5 separate regions of the Mus musculus genome follow, and regions 1, 2, 3 and 4 are each reported to be linked to region 5. Evidence: microRNA targets listed by miRTarBase, many of them from high-throughput screens and not tested one by one. Region 5 holds a microRNA gene; each other region holds the end of a gene's coding sequence.
The links. The annotated mature microRNA mmu-miR-669c-3p reads UACACACACACACACAAGUAAA and lies in region 5 at 2,177-2,198, opposite strand. An mRNA with a match to its seed (bases 2 to 7 or 8) in the 3' UTR can be bound and repressed. Matches are read on the target gene's strand: a 7mer-m8 pairs with bases 2 to 8, a 7mer-A1 pairs with bases 2 to 7 and ends in A, and an 8mer does both.

Region 1: the mRNA of Tcf12 is a reported target of mmu-miR-669c-3p. The part of its 3' UTR that is shown has no 7-base or 8-base seed match.
Region 2: the mRNA of Npbwr1 is a reported target of mmu-miR-669c-3p. Seed matches in the 3' UTR shown: 7mer-A1 at 489-495, 7mer-m8 at 793-799, 7mer-m8 at 795-801, 7mer-m8 at 797-803, 7mer-m8 at 799-805, 7mer-m8 at 801-807 and 11 more.
Region 3: the mRNA of St6galnac5 is a reported target of mmu-miR-669c-3p. The part of its 3' UTR that is shown has no 7-base or 8-base seed match.
Region 4: the mRNA of Erlec1 is a reported target of mmu-miR-669c-3p. The part of its 3' UTR that is shown has no 7-base or 8-base seed match.

The regions. Positions count from the first base shown.
Region 1 is chr9:71,846,044-71,850,043 of GRCm38, forward strand. It overlaps Tcf12 (transcription factor 12), which reads right to left. Exons shown (of 21, transcript NM_011544.3): 20 at 3,729-3,882; 21 at 1-517. The coding sequence ends at 3,740. Among named protein-coding and RNA genes, the nearest start is that of Cgnl1, 76 kb to the left of the region's middle.
Region 2 is chr1:5,912,595-5,916,594 of GRCm38, reverse strand. It overlaps Npbwr1 (neuropeptides B/W receptor 1), which reads left to right. Exons shown (of 1, transcript NM_010342.1): 1 at 1-2,888. The coding sequence ends at 291. Among named protein-coding and RNA genes, the nearest start is that of Npbwr1, 2.8 kb to the left of the region's middle.
Region 3 is chr3:152,817,828-152,821,827 of GRCm38, reverse strand. St6galnac5 (ST6 (alpha-N-acetyl-neuraminyl-2,3-beta-galactosyl-1,3)-N-acetylgalactosaminide alpha-2,6-sialyltransferase 5) reads left to right here. Exons shown (of 5, transcript NM_012028.5): 5 at 86-1,943. The coding sequence ends at 317. It also overlaps a transcript of Pigk not described here. Among named protein-coding and RNA genes, the nearest start is that of Gm40181, 64 kb to the right of the region's middle.
Region 4 is chr11:30,928,312-30,932,311 of GRCm38, forward strand. It overlaps Erlec1 (endoplasmic reticulum lectin 1), which reads right to left. Exons shown (of 14, transcript NM_025745.3): 14 at 1,473-3,537. The coding sequence ends at 3,466. Among named protein-coding and RNA genes, the nearest start is that of Erlec1, 24 kb to the right of the region's middle.
Region 5 is chr2:10,507,405-10,511,556 of GRCm38, reverse strand. It overlaps Mir669c (microRNA 669c), which reads right to left and starts at 2,261; the gene lies at 2,153-2,261. The region is part of intron 10 of Sfmbt2 (Scm-like with four mbt domains 2); the gene reads right to left. Mir467d (microRNA 467d) reads right to left here and starts at 3,927; the gene lies at 3,843-3,927. It overlaps Mir466 (microRNA 466), which reads right to left and starts at 3,639; the gene lies at 3,567-3,639. It also overlaps Mir297c and Mir669a-2.

The DNA of each region.
Region 1 (4,000 bases), not on the chromosome of region 5:
CCCTTCCTTTTTAAGACACTAACAGGTATGCCGGGAATGCTAAGGGCCAATGGTTGCCACTGCTCTGTGAACAGCTTTAACAATGCTGGCATCAGCTGAGTGTACATCAGCTTCCCACATGAACTTTTCCCTTTATATGTAGACCTCACAGTTCCATAACAATAAATAAAATTTGTAGTTACAATGCATTTGTCAATTCAGTTTAGGCACAAGGCAACTTCCACGTTGAGTGGAGAGATGAGACAGTCTCTGATTGTGCAGAAGCGACACACTGATTACAGCAGAGTGATATGCTGCAAACACCTCACGGCCGACGGTCTCTGCTGAGCTTCCTATGCTCACGTCTGATGAAGTGCTGACCAGTTGCTTTGATCACAGGATTACATATGAGTTTCTGGTTTCAAGTGTTTTGCTTTTTCTTCTCCCTCCTGCCAGGTTTGTGTCTTCAGATAATCTGAGTTGTCCAAATCTTATGAGGAGAGGTCACCTTCTATTTAGCCTACTGATGACTCTGGAACTGTGACAGGGAGGAAGAGGACAGTTAGTATATTTGATTATAAAGTATAACAATTATTAAAAATAACATTACTCTACAAATCCCAGTTATTGTTCATTATACTTAGGTTTGCGCTAGGCCAGTTCAAGTGACTTACTCAAGAGCCTTTAGGTATCAGAAGTCCCTCCTGATCTGAAAGGCTATGGCCCAAGATCCTCACTGGATGCCTGAAACTGTGCACATTATCTTACTTGCACCGTGATTTTTTTCCCTATACATAAATGCTTAGGATAAAGTTTACAAGTTGGGCATAGTAGTACATGGGCAACAATAAACAATAAAACAGAGCACATAACATTATAAGTCTATGTTTCCTTTTTGGAGACAGGGTCTCACGTATCTCTGGCTGGCTTAGAATTTGCTATGAAGACCAGGTTAACTTAGAGCTCATAATCCCTGCATCTGCCTCAGAATGCTGGAATGAAAAGGATGTGCCACCATGCCCAGCCTTCATTGCAAATTGTTTATGGATTACTGTTGGCTCTAAGTAACTGGAATCATGGAAAGTGAAACTTCCAAGGAAAGGGACTAGGTCTGTAATTGCAAGAGTTTTACCATGTGTGTGTACAGGGAACCTTCCATTAAAAGTTTGTACATCAGCTTAGTCAGCCAATTATGCAAACTCATGTTGGGAGCAGGTGAGCTGGCAATACCGGACCTTAGAGTCCACCCACTCAGCAGCCCACCCATGTTAATGGTTTATATTTATTTTTCCTCAACAGAAAGTTATGAAGTCTTAGCTGCTGGTCCATGGTAGGTTCCCACTAAGTATATATCTAAAGAATTTAAGAAATAGATGGGCGGTAGTGATGCATGCTTTTAATCCCCATACTCCAGAGGCTGAGGCAGGCAGATCTCTGTGAATTGAGACTAGCCTGATGTACAGAACAAGTTACAGGATAGCCAGGGCTGTACAGAGAAACCCTATCTCGGGGAGAAGAAAAAAAAAAGATTTTAAGTAATTATCTTATTAGTTCAAACTTTATACATTCATATACATTCCCATTACAATGTATATTTTAATAATCCTGAAAATGCCATTACAACCTTTTATAATAGGAATATAATTAGGAAAAATCATATTTCCACTTTCTTATTAGATGATAGGCAATAATACTGTTTGGTAACAGCTGGTGAGATGGCTCAGCGGTTAAGAGCACCGACTACTCTTCCGAAGGTCCTGAGTTCAAATCCCAGCAACCACATGGTGGCTCACAACCATCCGTGAGATCTAACGCCCTCTTCCGGAGTGTCTGAAGACAGCTACAGCGTACTCACATATAATAAATAGGTAAATCTTTAAAAAAAAAGTTACTTGGTTCTACATTGGTGGCAAATTGTTGGATATTTTTGTACGTTCCCTAAATTACTGTTACTATTAGTGCAAGTGCAGAAGCACATTTGCCACTGCATGCCTGTGGTGGCCTAAGGACAATGTGCAGAAGTAGGCTTCTCCTTCCATCATGTGGATACCGGGGCTTGAGCTCAGGCTGTCGAGCCTGTATGGCAAGCACTTATAACCGCTGAGCCATCTCCTCGGCCTCTCGGTGAGAATGTTACCATATTATACAGAAAGATAAGGCTAGAGATCCCAACGCAGCAGGAAGTACAACAGGTAAAGATCTGGAGGTAACTAAGAGAGAACGACAGTAGACAGGGAACAAGACAGGTTCTGCGTCCAGTGTGATGCTGACTCTAAGTTCTTTTCAGTCTGAGGGAAGCTCAGCACTTGAGCTTTGTATGAAGCTGTTTCTCATTACTGATCTTCTAGACCTATCAACTTAAAAACTCACCTCTGCCCTGAGAAACAGTGGTGTGTTTTTATCGAAAGACACCAACATTTATTTATAAGATGGATTCATTACTTTCCTAGACTCTGTTTTCTATAAAATATAGGTCAATGGCTTGCCTTTTAGAGAATGTGTGAATTAACAAGCTCTTGCCTGAGGACTCTGTGACTACATGATGACTGGAGGTATCTGTGGGCAGTGGTTTAGGCGTTCCCTCCAGGATGCTGCGGTTACAGTGATAACTGACTACCAGCATGTTGACCTATCTTCCTTTTCCCCTTTTCCACTGCAGTCTAATTTGATCCTAGGAGTGGTGGCATAAACCAAATCTGACATTAAAGAGCAGTTTACTTACTAACTATTCTATCAATTTCCAGACTTTTACCTCAAAATGAGAAACTATATTTGGTATAATTTCTGCTTCCATCCATTTGCCTCTACTATTTTAAATCTGTTGAAAAATATAAGAAAATAATTATATAATGCTTAAAGCTGGTTATAAACATGAAGTCATGGTTGGGAGTGGCAGCACATGCCCTCAATCCCAGCACTTGGGAGGTAGAAGCAGGCAGATCTCTGTGAGTTCAAGGGCAGCCTGGTCTACAGAGTAAGTTCTAGGGCCAGAGAGGGTTACATAGTATAGCCCTGTCTCAAAAACAAAACAAAACAAAAAAACCAAAAACAACAACAACAACAAAAACAAAAAAACCAAAACCCAAACATTTTAAAAATAAAATTACCAGTTCTTCTCTTAATCCATGATGCTAGTTAAAATGCTAGTTTGAAATATTTAATTATAGCTCACATTGATCAGCTTCTTAAATATTAACTTTGCAACTAAGCCTTTGTAAGTAAAACTCCAGCAAAGAGGGCTACTTTGGGTTTATCGCCTCACATCTTTACATTCAGTGGGTTCTAGAGTGTGCTCAATTCATGACTAGAAGAGCACAGCAGCTGCTCTCACAATCTCCATCCAAGGACCCAGGTGGAAGTGTACAGTCATGGAAAAGAGTCGAACCCAGTACTTATGACAAGAAGAATGTGGAGCGAGGGTGGGAACAGGGACAGTTTGAGAAAGGAGTCACTGTGATGTCCTCTTCTTGGAGCATGAGCACACAACACATGCCGACTCAGACCTGGCACTTCTTTATGAGCCATCAGCTGTTCAAACAATGTGAACAGTAATTGCTCTAAAATGACACTGGCTTTGATAAGACAAGAGGAAGGCCCATAGATCATTGTATTCCCAATTACATAACTTTACCAAATTATGTGTGGCCTTTACAATCACCATGGCCCACCACAGAGAGCTGCTGCTCTGCAGTCTAACCACTGTAAAATGAAGTGATGTCCTTATACCTCCCTCTCAGACCCACACTCACCTGGCTGATGTTTACAGATGACCCATAGGGTTGGTAGACTCACTAAGCCCAGGATGGGCTCCTGGCAACGTGTTGGGCGGCTCTGCTGACGCAGCAGAGACTTTTTCTTCTTCTCTTCTCTTAAGGCAGGCTGCTTTGGGGTTGAGGTTCCTCTCTACAGTAGAAGGAGAGAGCTAGCATCACTATTTAAAAAGGCAAACCAAGGGACTGGAGCTGGGGTAAGGCAAGTGGCAGTGAGGCTGGATCTCTAGGCCTGACTGGTGTCTGTTGGC
Region 2 (4,000 bases), not on the chromosome of region 5:
GCTATCCAGCTAGATAGCCACGCCAAGGCCCTGGATCGTGCCAAGAAGCGCGTGACCTTGTTGGTGGCGGCGATTCTGGCTGTGTGCCTCCTCTGCTGGACGCCTTATCACCTGAGTACCATAGTGGCCCTCACCACCGACCTCCCGCAAACGCCGCTGGTCATCGGCATCTCTTACTTCATCACCAGCCTGAGCTATGCTAACAGCTGCCTCAACCCTTTCCTCTATGCCTTCCTGGACGACAGCTTCCGCAGAAGCCTCCGGCAATTGGTGTCATGCCGTTCAGCCTGATGCCCTTTCCACCTCTTTCCACCGCAGGCAGCACTGCCAGCTGGGTTCAGGAGAATTCCGGGACTGTGGTTCCCAAGTGCAGCCCGAAATCCTGAGGCCCATTCCAGGCATTCAGTACCACAGGCCCTACCCAGGACTGATACCACAGGCCCTAACCAGGACTGATCCGGGATTTGCCCGGCCTTGAGGTGAGGCTGGTGTGTAGCATGCCTGAGGACAGCTTGGGCCAGGGCACCTTACTATTTTGTCCCCACAGCTGAGGGCAGGGCTTGACACCTGAACGTAGGGTAAATGGTGGGGCAGTGTTGTTGGAACGTGATTTTAATTCTCTCTCTATTTCACTGTGAGTAGGCTCCTAGGATGTCCCAGGCATCTCTTCCTCAGCGTTAAGTCTGTGTATTTTGTTTCTTTGCTTTCCACCACGGATGACCTCCCTGGTAAACAGCCTGGCCTGATGCTTCTTAGGAACACTCTAACTGCCTGGCCACGCCTCACTGGAGATGTGTGTGTGTGTGTGTGTGTGTGTGTGTGTGTGTTAGAGTGGAGGTGTGGTGGTGTGGAGGTGTGGTGGTGTGGTGGTGTGGTGGTGTGGTGGTATGGTGGTGTGGTGGTGTGGTGGTGGTGGTGAAGGGGGCTAGAACCTAGCTGTGACTGACAAGAATAGAGATAATCACCTGCTCAGTATGCCCCACCTTTCTTCGTTTTACCGAAGCCGATCTATATGGCCCTAAAAAGACTTTAACCGAGGCTGCAAAAGCCAAGAGTACAGAGAAATCACCGGAGAGTGAGGTTCCAGCTCCCTCTAGAGGAGTCAGGTGTACAGAACGTTTCTGAGCTGCTTTTGCACAGGGTGGTGCACCAGCCAACAGCTCTTTAAATCTTTGGTCCTTTGTAGCTTCTGTAAAGTAGTCCAAAATTTCCTTCCTGCCTCATAGCCTTCACAGGCTTCCCATACAACTTAGACCATTTCCTTGTAACTATGTACAGTTTTTCTGGACCAAGAACTTTGTAAATAATACATATATCTTACTCTCACAGTCTTCTTAACTTAGAGGAATATGAGAAATAAAAGATGAGACCTGTTCCAACTATGGTTCCCCTTCCCTGAGTATTCTTCCAGGACCTCCCTTCAGTGAGATCCAGGTACGGGAACCGCCTTGCATCCCTAGCTTTTTCTTGTCTGGACACTTACCTAACCACAAGGAACATCTAAATTTTGTCCAATTCTAAAGTCCCGGGGAACATCTGCTTCTGATTACCCACAGGGAACAGTCAACACCTACTTTCCTCTCTTTAGTCTCTACTTATGGAAGACAAGCTCCAGGCCTCCTCCTCGAGGCCTGGAGTAACCAGACTCATCAGTGATAGCGTCTTTTAAACGATATGTTTAGGATGATCCCCAGGAAGAAATGATATGATTTTCAAGTATCATTTTTCCTATGGGAAAGTTTGGTTATATGTGGAACCAAGACTCTTGCCAGCAGACTTTGTTTACAAAGTTTGGCATGAAAGTCAATTATTTCTCAGTTATTTGTATTCAATGTTCCCTTCAAAAATATGCAGAAGGGAAATACTCTCTCTTGCAAGAGGAAGGCTAAATTTCCCTCTGATTTTGGTGTATGAGAATTGATTGGTTCCTACGGTGTCAGAGTTGTGGGAAGATTGGGGTAATTTTCAAGTACAAACTGAGAAAACTAATTTAGAGGCTGTGTGTCTTGGGTGCAAATAACAGTAAATTGTCTAAAAGTTGTCCATCAGTCATGCACTTGAACCATGGTCATCATGGCCTCAGAACGGGCCTCTGCTGTGGCCTTCAGAAGTGTCTGGAATGTGTTCATAAGCTTCAGACTTCTGGGAAGCACTCCACAGATATTTCTTTTAAAACTTAAATTTTGTATGATTTTCTGTAATTTTTCCAAATTAGGATTTTAAAATTGAGCAACCTGTAGCTCATCCAGGGTGATAATAAAGGATGCAGTGGAGCTTTGGACACAGATACAGCCAAGTACTGTCACATTAATTGGAAACCCAGTCTCCATACATGCAGCAGCAACATAGATAAGAAGGAGGTCCTGGTAGTTTTCTGTCTGTCATGCCATTGCTGCTAGAGATAGGTTTATGTCTGTCTTGCAGTCTCTGGATGCTGCCGGAAAAACACAAGAGAGATATAACTGTACCCATCACAGCTCAGTACAGACTGGAAGTCTAGTTTGCATCAAGAGGATTCAATATCAGTGTCACACTGGCTTTCTAAAGCCCCTCGTGATCACTTCACCTTTCTGTGAGCATTTGGGCAGTTATATATAAATAAATATATAAATATAAGGCATCTATATTTAACCTTTTATCTCTTAAGTAAAACATAGAATAAATAAACAAGTCACATAGTAGGAAAATTTGTAATTCCATAGTTCTTACAGCCTTGGTGTAAACTATGTTGTTTTAACGCTTCTAATATCTAAAAGTGTGAATTTGGTTTTACTTATTTTAGTATAATTGTATAAAGTGGGTTTAATGCTTTCTCAAGAAATGCAGCAATTTGCTAATTGATTGCAGAAGATCCAAGTCTAAAATAAAAGGTGAAACATTCTGTGTGACAAGTGTATATTGTGTTTCAAAAAAAAAGCCTACCAAAAATAAAATATAAACAACTGCAACAACAGCCACTTACCTCCGAAAACCAAAACAACTAAACAATCAACCAAATGAACAAACAAAAAAGGACTCTTATGCCATACAATGGGTATGTATCACATGAATAGAAAGCTAAAACAAGCAATGCCAAGAGAAAAGAGTGGAGAAAGATTACCTGCAGCAGGTGAGTGAGCTTGAGAAATGGTACCAGGCCATGCTTTCATTGGAACTGGGAACAGCAGGGGTTTTATTCGGAAAGCCTACAGATATGCATATGAGAAAGCACTTCAGGGACATGCACATCTGAGCATACTCAGTTAGATGGATGCAACTAAGCATGCTCAGTTAAAGGTTATACTTTATTTTACTTTTAAAAACTGCTTTATTCATTCACATTCCAGATGTTGCTCCCCTTCCCAGTCTTCCCTCCAAGAGTTCTTCACCTCATCTGCTCTCCTCTTTGCTCCTTCAGTCTTTCCCCTAACTCTTCCGCAGGGATCCCAACATCACTCCAATGGTTGGCTGTAAGCATCTGCATGTGTCTTAGTAAGCTGCTGGTAGAGCCTCTCAGAGGACAACCATGCTAGACTCCTGTTTGCTATCACAACATAATAGTGTCAGGGTTTGATGTCTGCCCATGGGATGGATCCGAAGTTGGGCCGGTCACTGGATGACCTTTCCTTTAGTCTCTGCTCCAATTTTGTCCCTGTATTTTCTTTAGACAGGAGCAATTCTGGATCAAAAAGTTTGAAGGTAGGTTGGTGACTCCAAACCTCCACTGGAGGCCCTATCTCTCTACTGGAGGTGGTCTCTTCAGATTCCATCTCCCCACTGTTGGGTATTTTGGCTAAGGTCATTCCCATTGATTCCTGGGAGCCTCTCACATCTGGGAGCCATCTAGAGATTCCCCTTGATCCCCACTCTCTCAGCTGCAAATTTCCATTTGTTCTCCTGACCCTCTGGGCTTTTCTCCTGTCTCCCCCTCTAAAAACACCACCATATCTGATCATGTCCCACTTCCCTTCCCTCTCCCCTCTCCCACTCAGACACCTCTCTTTCTATGCCTCCCATGATT
Region 3 (4,000 bases), not on the chromosome of region 5:
GTGTGTTCCATGTCGGGTATGGCTTGGGTGTTTGCATTATTTTCCTCTCTTTTGCTTTAACAGTTGTCCCACTTTCCTCCCACAGGGACCCAAAGCATCCTTCCGTACCCTATCATTACTATGAGCCTTCAGGACCCGATGAATGTACAATGTACCTCTCTCACGAGCGAGGACGCAAGGGCAGTCATCACCGTTTCATTACAGAGAAACGGGTGTTTAAGAACTGGGCACGGACATTCAACATTCACTTTTTCCAACCAGACTGGAAACCAGAATCACCCGCTGTGAATCATGCCGAGGGTAAGCCTGTGTTCTGAGGGGTGAACATGGTGGACAGCGGTGTCCACGCTGTGTGGCAGGAGAGGAAGGACTTAAACTCTAGGCAGGGAAACGGGAACTGAATGGGTGACCGAGAAGAGCGGCGTCCTTCAGCACCATGGACAGATCCCAGCGGCCAGAGAACATTCCAGAACGCTTACATGCTAATGAGTGTTGTCTCTTGGAAAGAGCAACTGAAGCCTTGATTCAGTGACACTGCCATGGCTAGGAACACCCCAGGTCTCTGGGAGTATTGCCTTCGAAACTGAACCGGGAGCAGCCCGCCACTTTTAGTTGCATTTCTTTACAGATACCCACGTCAAAAGACTTTTTTATCAGAAACCTAACCTGACCTATAGTCTCTGTCATTTGTCAGACTTTGTGATTTGTAAAAGGCCTGAAAGTATGGACATGCTTCCGAAGAGCACATCTCCAATGATTTTCATAAAGCAAATGTCTGCTATTTATTTATTGAGAGTTTTTTAGTGTACTCTAGGCAGTATTTTTATAGATTATGATTATGTGGCAATGTATTCTTCCTGACTCTTTAATCCTGAATGGTGGTTGGTATGGGCTAGGATCGGGCTGATGAGTTACTGAATTCACAATGCCCATTACTAGCTTGAAATCAGTATTTGATGTGGAAATGTGCAACATTGTTTGAACCTCTCTGCTTCAGGCAATTTGCTGTTTCATAACAAAAACAGCTATAACACTTTCTAATGTACATAAATGTCCAAAAGAACAAAATTGAAACCCAAAAACTGTGTTATTAAAACAAAAAGATGCTAATGAGAGAAATTTAAAGATACCCTTACTTTTTCTTCAGTAGCAACTGATAATACAAGCTATTTCTCTTTGAGTTCTACTTCCCCTTTCCTTAGAATGTAGGATAAAGTCCCGAGTTCCTCTTGCAAATCTAAGATAGTCAGAGCCTCTCGTTTATAGGAGGACTAGACACTTGGATTGATGTGGGGCTGACAGTAGGAGGAAACTTCCAGTCAGGGTAGAGATGTCAGGGTCCTCTGGGTAGACATCACGCCTCCTCCTGGGGCTCTCTTGCCTAACTACTATCCCTAGATTCTTTAAGAAAGTGAGAAATTGGGGGCAGGGGGTGGAGGCAGTGCCAAGAGCTGCCCATGTTTTGAGAACACAGAACAGTTCCACCCCACCGGCTGCAAGTCTTGGAATATGAAGGACTCCTCTCTCCATTCAAATCCACGATCAAGTAGTACTATAGACTTTCATTTTAGAAACTTGTATCGCTCAGAAGAGTAAGAAATACTAGACTCTTCTTTACATCGTGCCAAAGGGACTTTAGTGTGTCTAATGACAGGCTTGAGGGCAGCAGCTAATGTCGTGAGGGAACAGGCATTCTCTACAAACAGGACAGGACTTGTGAATAAAGTGTCTCATACCACCAGTTCTTTCCCATCTTTTTAATTAGTGATAATGTCCCATGCCCTTTCATTAAGTAGAACTATTCATTATGCAGGGCGCCATTGTGGAGCTGCAGATACAGTCCAGGTATTCAGACAGCAAAGACAAAGTGTTATTGTGGTGTGGCTTGAGTTATTTAAAGTCAGTAAAAAAGAAAAAGAAAAAAATTAAATGGCTGTCCAAGACATAGTGGAATTCATTCTTCAAGTGTCTTCTGAGTTTGTAGGAAAATGAATTTTATTTTTACCATAGCACAACCTCCTGTTTAGTCTTCTTATATACACAGAAGAAGGGTGTAAACTGCACAGTTGATTGACAGGCTACTTCACAATCCCTCCAAGAGATTATTTGTTGAAATATAAGTGGTTCCATTGACAAATCCTATGCTTATGGAATATTGGAAAAGCATAGCTACCAAGGGGTAAGAATACTATCTGACCTGATCTACTATCTTACTGTCTGAGTATCTTTGGGTGGTGTGTGTGTGTGTGTGTGTGTGTGTGTGTGTGTGTGTGTATGTATGTGTGTCTGTATGGGGGGAATGGTGTGCGTATGTGTGTGTGGTTTCGTGTATGGGTGTTGGTGTGGTATGTATGTTTGTGTGCAGTGTGTGTTTATGTGTGTGTATATATGTGTGTGTATGTGCAATGTGTGTGTATATGTGTGTGTGTGGAGTGTATATATGTGGTGTGTGTATGTGGTGATATATATATATATATATATATACATACATATATATATGTATGTATGTATATGGTATGTGTGTTTATGTGTGTATGTGGGGGGCTAGTATGTGTATGTGGGGATGTGGTGTGTGTGTATATGTGTGTGTGGTGTGTGTATATGTGGGTGTGGGTGTATGTGGGTATGTGTGTATGGTATGTATGTGTGTGTGGTGTGAGTGTATGTGTGGTGTGTGTATGTGTGGGGGTGTATATGTGGGTATGTGGGTGTGTATGGTATGTGTGTGTGTTTAAGGGAGAAAAGCCCACAATGAACATCAAGATACGCCCTTTGTCTAATTTCCTTCCCTCAAATACTCAAAAGAATAAAAAGCAACCAAACGCCCAAAGTCTTGGCTCTTTCACAGAAAAATATTTTAAATTCACTTGTGGCTATAATATAGTGTAGCTAAGTGTAAGAAATGATCACTTGGGTCACAGTTTTACCGCTGCATTAAAGAAGACGCCGAGAGCGGACGGCTTGTGCTGATGGACCTGGTTGTGGGCAATTGAGTTCCTGTCTTACCGCTATCATTTCACAACCGTCCGACGTAATGCCACCCAACACCATTAAACATACACAGGACACACAACCCTGCTTACAGACCCCAGTGGTTCCGGGGTATTTGGAGCCCTGCTCGCTTGGCTTGGTATGTTCCCTTCTCGTCTCTCCCCAGTGCTATCATCAGCCTCCTCCCAGCTTTTAAGACCACAATAATACGATGCCACAGCTGGGCGATCCATGGCTTCTGTTATTTCAACACAAGAACATTTGGCAGAGGCCATTACAATAGATAGCCATTACGGGCAAAGATACAGGAATTCGCAAACAGAATCAATCACTTCAAATGGCCCATAAAAAGAGGAATCTCACATTTAATATTCTACAGTAAATATTCACCCAAGAAAGCGCACATTAAAAGCACATTAGGAGGTAAATATTCAGTGTGCTGCATGGGGACTTGGCTGTGTGATTCCCCTCCGCATACGTGGGTGTTAGGGAGCTGAGCCCCCTGTTTCGTTCATCCTGCTCTATACTCCTTCGGACTGGGCACAGAAACGGATCAATTCAGGGACACACAGGTCCTAAGAAAAGCTCAGACCTTCATAAAACCAAATGAAAAAGACTGCCAAGCCCTGTGCCTAAAGGATACACTTGTGTGGCCTCTTGGTACCCTTAGGTCACTGCCAGATTCGTGTTTCAAAGATGGCATCTCTGAACCACCTGAACTCAATTAGAATGGAGACAGAGAATCTCATATTGAAATAAACATGATTATTTCACATTTCAAGGAACTTTTAGAAGGCAAGTGAATGGTAGGAAGTGAGGGGAAATGTAGAAATTCTTTTAGGATGCAGACATGCTGTGTTCCGGTGTTGTACCTCTCCAAATGTTTGCCCTGGGGAGTGATTCTGGGTCTCCCTGACGAAGGTCCCAGTTTCTCTCTGGTTCTGAGCATTTCACACTGAGTAGCCTTGTCCTTCATCCTCCTGCCTCTCCTGAGCCCCCGTGTCTTCAC
Region 4 (4,000 bases), not on the chromosome of region 5:
GGAAAACATAATCTAGAAGGGATATGGGCATACCTAGAGTAGCCCTCATCCTTATCTTACCTTCCTACATGTCAGAATTGGATAGCAATAAACTCACAAGTGCTTTAGTTTCCAGGTAAGCAGATGGAGCTGTCACTCCCAGGGCTATTAAAGGTGTCCTCCTCTAACTGGGTCCAAATTAGGTTGCCACATCTCTTCCTCAGTTTAGGAAGTTCAGTAAGTTCTTGCTGAATTTCTTGATACAATTTTAACATACATAGTTGTGTGTGATATTAATTTGACAAAATTATAGTGTTTTTACTTTATCAGTTGTGCCTTGTCAGTGATGCCAGATGGATTGTGTTGTTTGCAAAGTACAGAGTCACCCATCTGTCTTTGTTTCTGTCTACTCAAATGCTGCTTGTAAAATGGAGTCTCAGAGTTGAGGCACAGCCTGAAAAACCAAGATTAACAGAATATAGCTTGCTTTCAACATCTATGCTGAAAAATCACAACCCCTAGACAGTCTCCAAATGAGGCCATTTACCAGAAGGACCAAATGATTGTCAAGGCTGGAACTTCAATCCCATCCGGTGATCCCTCTCCTGCTCCCTCTCCCCCCCCCCCCCTTCTGTGTGTGTGTGTGTGTGTGTGTGTGTGTGTGTGTGTGTGTGTGTGTATTAGGGAAGGGTGGGTTTCACGCTCCATATAAACTTTTGAATTCTTGAGATCTGGAGAGTATAGAAACTGAACTCTAGCCCAACCTCCTCGCCTTATTTACCTCTTTAATTTGACTTTATTAGTGCTTCTCTCCTTTATAACTGTTAAACTAAGTATTTACCAGAGTTCTGTGAGCCATTCTAGCAAACTTTTGAGAAAAAGTAGTAGGTCTGGAGACTGATTTATAGCTGTCTGGTAAAAGGTATTAGAATCCAGGGACTTCATAGATGGTTCGGTGTTTAAAAACACTTGCTCATCTTTCAAAGGACCTGAGTTTAGTTCCCAGCACCCACTTTGGGTAGCTCCCAACTTCCTGTAACTATGTGGTGCACATATAGGCAAATAGGCATGCATACACACACACACACACACACACACACACACACACACACACACACACACACACACACACACACACACGTATATAAAATTAGAACTTGGTACTTGCAATATTTGTAGCTGACATCTGATGTGGAGCAACTTTGTAAGGTTGAATCCTTTTTACCTGTGACATATGATGCTAAGTCCAAGTAGGTAAGCATGAGAACTAAAATTAATTGTAGGGTACCCAAAGGTGCTGAGTATAGTTGGTGTAGAATAAAAAAGTTTACATATTTTTTGTTATATAGGCCATTCTATGCTATGTAGGAATAACTGATTACTTAGTATGTAGACCAGGCTGGTTTCAAACTCACAGTAACCCTACCTGCCTCTGCTTTCTCAAGTGGGCATAAAAGGTATGCCCAGCTTGCTTTTTTTTTTTTTTTTTTTTTAAGAAAGTGTCTCATCTCATTCACTCTTTCTAGATTAGCCTAGAATTCACAGTGTATGGCAAATCAGATTGGTCTCAAATTCATGGCAATACTTCTTTGTTTTCCAAGTTCTGGGGTTAAGACACTATGTTGAGTCATTTACTTTTTTCTTTTCTTCATTTCTTGTGCTGTGCTGGAAATGGAATCCAGGATCTTGTGTTTGCTAAGCAGTCTGCCAATGAGCTGCATCTCCAGTCTCCAGCCAGATTCTTTCACCTCCTAGACTTACCTTACTGCTGTGATCCCTAAATACAGCTCCTCATGTTGTGGTGACCTCAACCATAAAACTTTTTGTTGCTACTTCTAACTGTAGTTTTGCTACTGTTATGAATCATAATGTAAATATGTTTTCTGATGGACTTAGGTGACACCCCTCCCCCATGAAAAGGTCATTTAACCCCTAAAGGGGCCATTACCCACAGGTTTTAAACCACTGTCCTAGACTGCTTTACCACTAAACCCCCCGCCCTAGCAATAAAGGCATTGAATTAATTAAATCAATTGTAGGATACCCAAAAGTGCTGAATGTACTTGGTGTAGAATAAAAAAGTTCACATATTAATTAATTATTAACTAATTAATTAATTTCTAAGACAAGGTCTCCTGCAGCCCAGGCTGGCTTCAAACTCACTATGTAGCAGACTTTGAACTTCTGATTCTTCTAGTATCTACTTCTCAAGTGCTGGCATTACATTAATTAATTAATTAATTAATTAATGCCATGCCATTAGGCCTGGTCATAAACCCTTTCTTAATATAGCTTTTATCAGAAATACTGGTTTTCAGGAGTATCTGGACCACCTTTTATTTTGACTGTTTAAGATAGGCTTTCAACTTTGTTGCCCTGGTTGGTGCAGAACTGGCTATCCTTGGCGTAGACCAGGCTATCTTTGAACTTTCTGATCCCCTGAATCTGTCTACTTAGTGCTGGGAACAAAAGCATGAACCCCAATATCCAACTTTTTATTTTTGTTGTGGGAGACTGAACTGAGGGCCTCAAACATGCTCTGCCTCTAAAGTATTCTCTCAGTCCCTATGGCCACTTTTTTGTCCTTGTTCAGATTCATATGGATAAAATATATGCAAAAAGGATAAAGGAGAAAATAAAGTAACTGAATAATCTGCCACTAATTACATGAAAAGACTGCTTAATAACATTTTATTCTCTTTAAAATAAATATTGTGCTGTAAAGCTGTCCAGAACTAAGATTTATACTATACAGCAGGCACGTACGAGAGCCAGCACAGTGAATTTTAGAATGAACCATTCTAATGTAGAGATGAGTCACGAACTGTCTGCACTAGACATGTACTCTGTAGTAAACTCATTCATGGTAAGAATCATAAAAGTTCAAGAAAAAGAGCAACCTCTCATTTAAAAAAAAAAAAAACCAGTTTCTTGAGTGATCTCAGGTTATCTGTGAGGCTCTCCTCTATTTCCACTTCTAGTTTAGTGCTTGACAGCGAGCAACTGTCACAGAAACATTTGCTGAAAGGATTTCAGGCACTAGAATTTTATACATTTTATGTGGCCCCTCATTTTATACAATCTTCTAGAAACTTCTTTCTAAATTATCTTTACTTCATTAGCTTGTCATATGTGCTGTAATTTATTCAGTAAGTATATTATTTAAAATACTTTAACAAGTACAAGGTATATGACATTTGATAAGCTGGACTAAACTGCTTGGATCAGATTTGTTTTGAAATTACATTACCCAAGCAAAGCCAAACGCAATCAGTTCATACAAGACCAAAATGAATGAAGTGAGACAAGGATCTGCCTTACAAGTTTATCTGTAATCTCTTATATACACGTGAATTTCACAGTGTGGTTGCCAGTCCTTTTTGTGATACTACAGACAAGGTCCAATGGTGAGACTCTATAAAGAGATGTGGTCAGGAGAAAGTGATGATTTTCAATCATCTTTCTTTCTTTCAACTTTAATATCTTTTAATTGGGGAGAGAAAGAAGTCCATTTTCATCAGCTGTATCTAGAATTTTACAGATTACTGGAGATTCAACCTGAAGAATAATAATATTAGAAAGTTGGTAAGGTGAACATTTCCTCAGTATCTTCTCAAAGAATATATTTGCTAAATATGTAAGATCCTGGTTTGGATAAACCTCCCAACATTTTCCCTACAGATTAGGCTCTTTTCTCTCTCTCCCCAGCCTCCTTCCATTTTTTCTTTTGAGATTGTGTCATGCTATGTATTCCTCCCTGACTAGCCTTGAACTTCTCTTTTGGCAATCCTGAGTGCCAATTTTCATGAAGCCTAACATAAATAATAAAGCTTTCTGAAAAACAAGTTTAGTCACCCATATAAAAGCATTATAGCTGAAAATATTTTTATTTCTCAGTAAATATGGTAAAGGAGACAGAAAGAACAGGAATATAGAAGTTTGTAACTAGAGTTACATCACTAAAACAGGAAAACACTATGGCAAAACTATCAGTTCTATTTATAAGGCAAAGTAAACACTA
Region 5 (4,152 bases):
AGAGCACTCACTGGCCCAGCACAGCATAATTTCTAAAACTCTAAGTCACCTGTCATTCAAAATGATTGATGGGTGTGTGTGTGTGTGTCTGTGTATCTGTGCTACTTCTATATGTTTGTATGGATGTATATGTATATGCATATGCACACATGCACATGCACATAAACTATACACACATAAACATACATTGGGGGGAACCCCGTGAAGTCAGGCTGATCTCTATGTCATTTTGAAATTACTCATGAATTTGGACCCCTGATCCATCTGAATATAACAAACATTTTTACTGGTAAGTAAGACGTTTCATTGGCCCAGTAATACATACTCTTAAAGCTCTAAGTCATATATCATTCAAACGTAACGACGAATGCAATTTCTTCTGTGTGTGTGTGCCTGCATATACACGTGTGTTTATGTTATGTATATTCATATCAACACATGCACATGCACATACAAGTAAGCACACATGCACATACATGGGTAGCATCACAGAAATACCAGGATGATCTCCAACTGAAATTAAGCATGGATTTGAACTCCTGATCCTCCTGACTCTGTGGTTTACACCTGGTGATTGAGACCATTCACTGTCCCACTACTGCATAATCTCTAAAACTCTAAGTCACCTATCATTCAGATGGATCGATGAGTGTCATTCCTGTGTCTCTGTGTGTGTGTGTGCTTGTGTTTATATGTATGTGCATGTTATGTCTATTCATATACACACATGCACATGTACACAAAACTATACACCCATGCACATACATGGGTGGCAATCACATGAATCACAGGCAGATATCTATATCCTCCTGAAGATAAGCATGAATTTGAACTCCTGATACTCCTGATTCTAGCAAGCATTTTTACCTAGAAAATGACAGCACTCACTGGCCCAGTACTGAATAATTTCTAATATTCTAGGTGGCATATCATATAAATGGATCTATGAATGTTATTCGTGTGTGTGTGTGTGTGTGTGTGTGTGTGTGTGTGTGTGTGTGTGTGCACGCTAGGGTTTATATGTCTATGTATATGTTATGTATATCCATATAGACACATGAACATACACACACAACTATACAAACCTGCATGTACACTTAAGGCATCACATGAATCACAGGCTTATCTCTAAATCATGCTGAAGATAAGCATAAATTTGAACTTCTGATACTCCTAACTATAGTAAGCATTTTCACCTAGAGAATGAGAGCACTCACTTGCCCCATACTGAATAATCTCTACTACTCTGAGTGGCATATCATTTAAATGGGTCAATGAATGCCATTCCTGTGTCTGTGTGTGTGCTTGCGTTTATACGTGTGTGTGTATGTTATGTATATTCAAATATAGACATGAACATGCACACACAACTATACACACATGCACATACATGGAGGAATCTCAGGCTGATCTCTCATGAGGATAAGCATGAATTTAAACTCCTGATACTCTTAACTCTAGCAAGCATTTTCACCTAGAGAATAAGAGCACTCACTGGCCAAGTACTGCATAATCTCTAATATGCTAAGTGACATATCATTCAAAGGGATCGATGAAAGCCATTCTTGTGTCTCTATGTGTGTGTGCTTGCGTTTATACGTGTATGTTATGTATATGCAAATACATGCATGAACATGCACACACAACTATATACACATGCACAATCATGGGGCCATCACATGAATCACAGGCTGATCTCTAAATCCTCATGAAGGTCAGTATGTGTTTTAACTCCTGAATACTCTTAACTCTAGCAAGCATTTTCACCTAGAGACTGAGAGCACTCACTGGCCAAGTACTGCATAATCTCTAATACTCTAAGTGACACATCATTCCAATGGATTGATGAGTGGCATTGGTGTGAGTGTGTGTGTGTGTGTGTGTGTGTGTGTGTACTTGCATTAGTGTGTGTATGTTATGTATATTCAAATACAGACATGCACACACAACTATACTCACATGCACACACATGGGCGATATCACATGAATACCAGGATGCTATCTAGCTGAACATAGGAGTGAATTGGAACTCCAGATCCTCTTGACTCTTTCAATCGTTTACAACTGGTGAGTGAGACAATTCACCGTCTCTACTTCAAAATCTCTAAAACTCTAAATCACTTATCATTCCAATGGATCGATGAATGGCATTCCTGTGTCTGTTTGTGCACTTGTGTTTACTTGTGTGTGTGTGTGTATGTTATTTATATGCAAATACACACATCCACACACAACTATACACACATGCACATACATGGAGGCATCACATGAATGCCAGGCTGATCTCTAACTCATCATGCCGTTAACATGAATGTGCACTCCTGATCACCCTGAATCTAGCAAGTCTTCTCCTGGTGACTGAGACCTCTCTCTGTCAGCCCCAGTCATACAGAATCTCTAAGACTCTAAGTCACTAATTATTCAAATAGATGGATGAGTGCCAATTTTTGTGTGTTTGTATGCATGTTTGTATGGGTATGTGTGTATGTATATGTATATTCATATACACACATGTACATGCACACATACATATACACACAGGCATATATACTAGGGTCATCACAAGACTCCGAAGCTGATCACGAACTCATCATGAAGTTCAGCATGAATTTTGATTCCTGGTCATCCAAAGTCTGGCAAGCAAGCATTTTCACCTTGTGAGTGAGAGCACTCACTGGCCCAGCCCTGCATAATCTCTAAAGCTCTGAGTCACCTGTCATTCAAAAGGATCAATGAGTGACATTCCTCTGTGTGTGTGCGCGTGTGTGTGTGTGTGTGTGTGCGTGCCTGTGTGTTTATGTTTGTCTGTATGTAGATGTATATTTGTATACACACATGTACATATACACAAAACTATACACACATGCACATATATGGGGGGAGGATGCCATGAGGCCAGGCTGATCCCTAGGTCATTTTGAAGTTATTCAGGAATTTGAACTGCTGATCCAAAAGGCAAGCGTTTTACCTGGTAAGTTAACTGAGACATAGCTCTGGCCATTCCTGTGAGTGAGTGTGTGTGCATGCGTGTATATGCATATTCATATAGAGAAGTGTATGTGCACAAAGCTATACACACATGCACATTCTTTATGGTCATCACATGAATAGCATGCTGATCTCTAACTCATCATGAAGTTAAACATGAATTTGAACTCTTGATCCACCTGACTCTGTGGTGTGAGACCTCTCCCTATTGAGTACTGCAGAATCTCTAAAACTCTAAGTCACATATCATTCAAATGGACTGAGGAGTGGCATGCGTGTGTGTGTCTGTGTCTGTGGATGGGTCTATGTGTGTGTAGGTATGTATATTCATATACACAATCCACACACAGTTACACACATATACACATACATGGGGACATCACATGATTCCCAGGCAGATCTCTAAGTCATCATGAAATAAAGCATGAATTTGAACTCCTGACCTCCTGATTCTAACAAGCATTTTTAACATGATGGGTGATAACTCTCCCTGACCTAGTCACACATAATCTCCAAAGCTCACAGTCACATAGATCAATGAGTGAGTGCCATTCCTGTGTGCCTGTGTGCTCATATGTGTCTTATGTGTGCGTGTATGTATATGGATATCATATTCACATATGTACATGTACACACACATAAACACATATACACATACATAGGGGCAATCACATGAATGCCAGGATGACCTCTAACTCATCATGCCTTTACCATGAACTTGCACTCCTGATCTTCCCGACTCTACCAAGGGTTTTCCCGTGGTTTGTGAGACCTCACCCTGGCCCAGTCATACATAACCTCCAAAGCAGTAGGTCACATATCATTCAAATGGATCCGTGAGGGCCATTCCCGCATGTCTGTGTGCATGTGTGTGTAGGTGTGTGTATGTATATGCATAAAATATACACGCATATACATGCGCGCACTTATGCACACAGGCACATACATAGGGGCCATCACATTATTCCAGGATGATCTCTAACTGCTCATGAAGTTAAGCATGAAATTGAACTCCTGATCCTCCTGACAATGCCAATTGTTTACACCTTGTGAGTGAGACCATTCACTGTCCTTCTACTGCATAATCAGTAACATTCTAAGACATATATCATTCAAATGGATCGATGAATGCCATACCTTGGTGTGTGTGTGCTTGCTTTTATA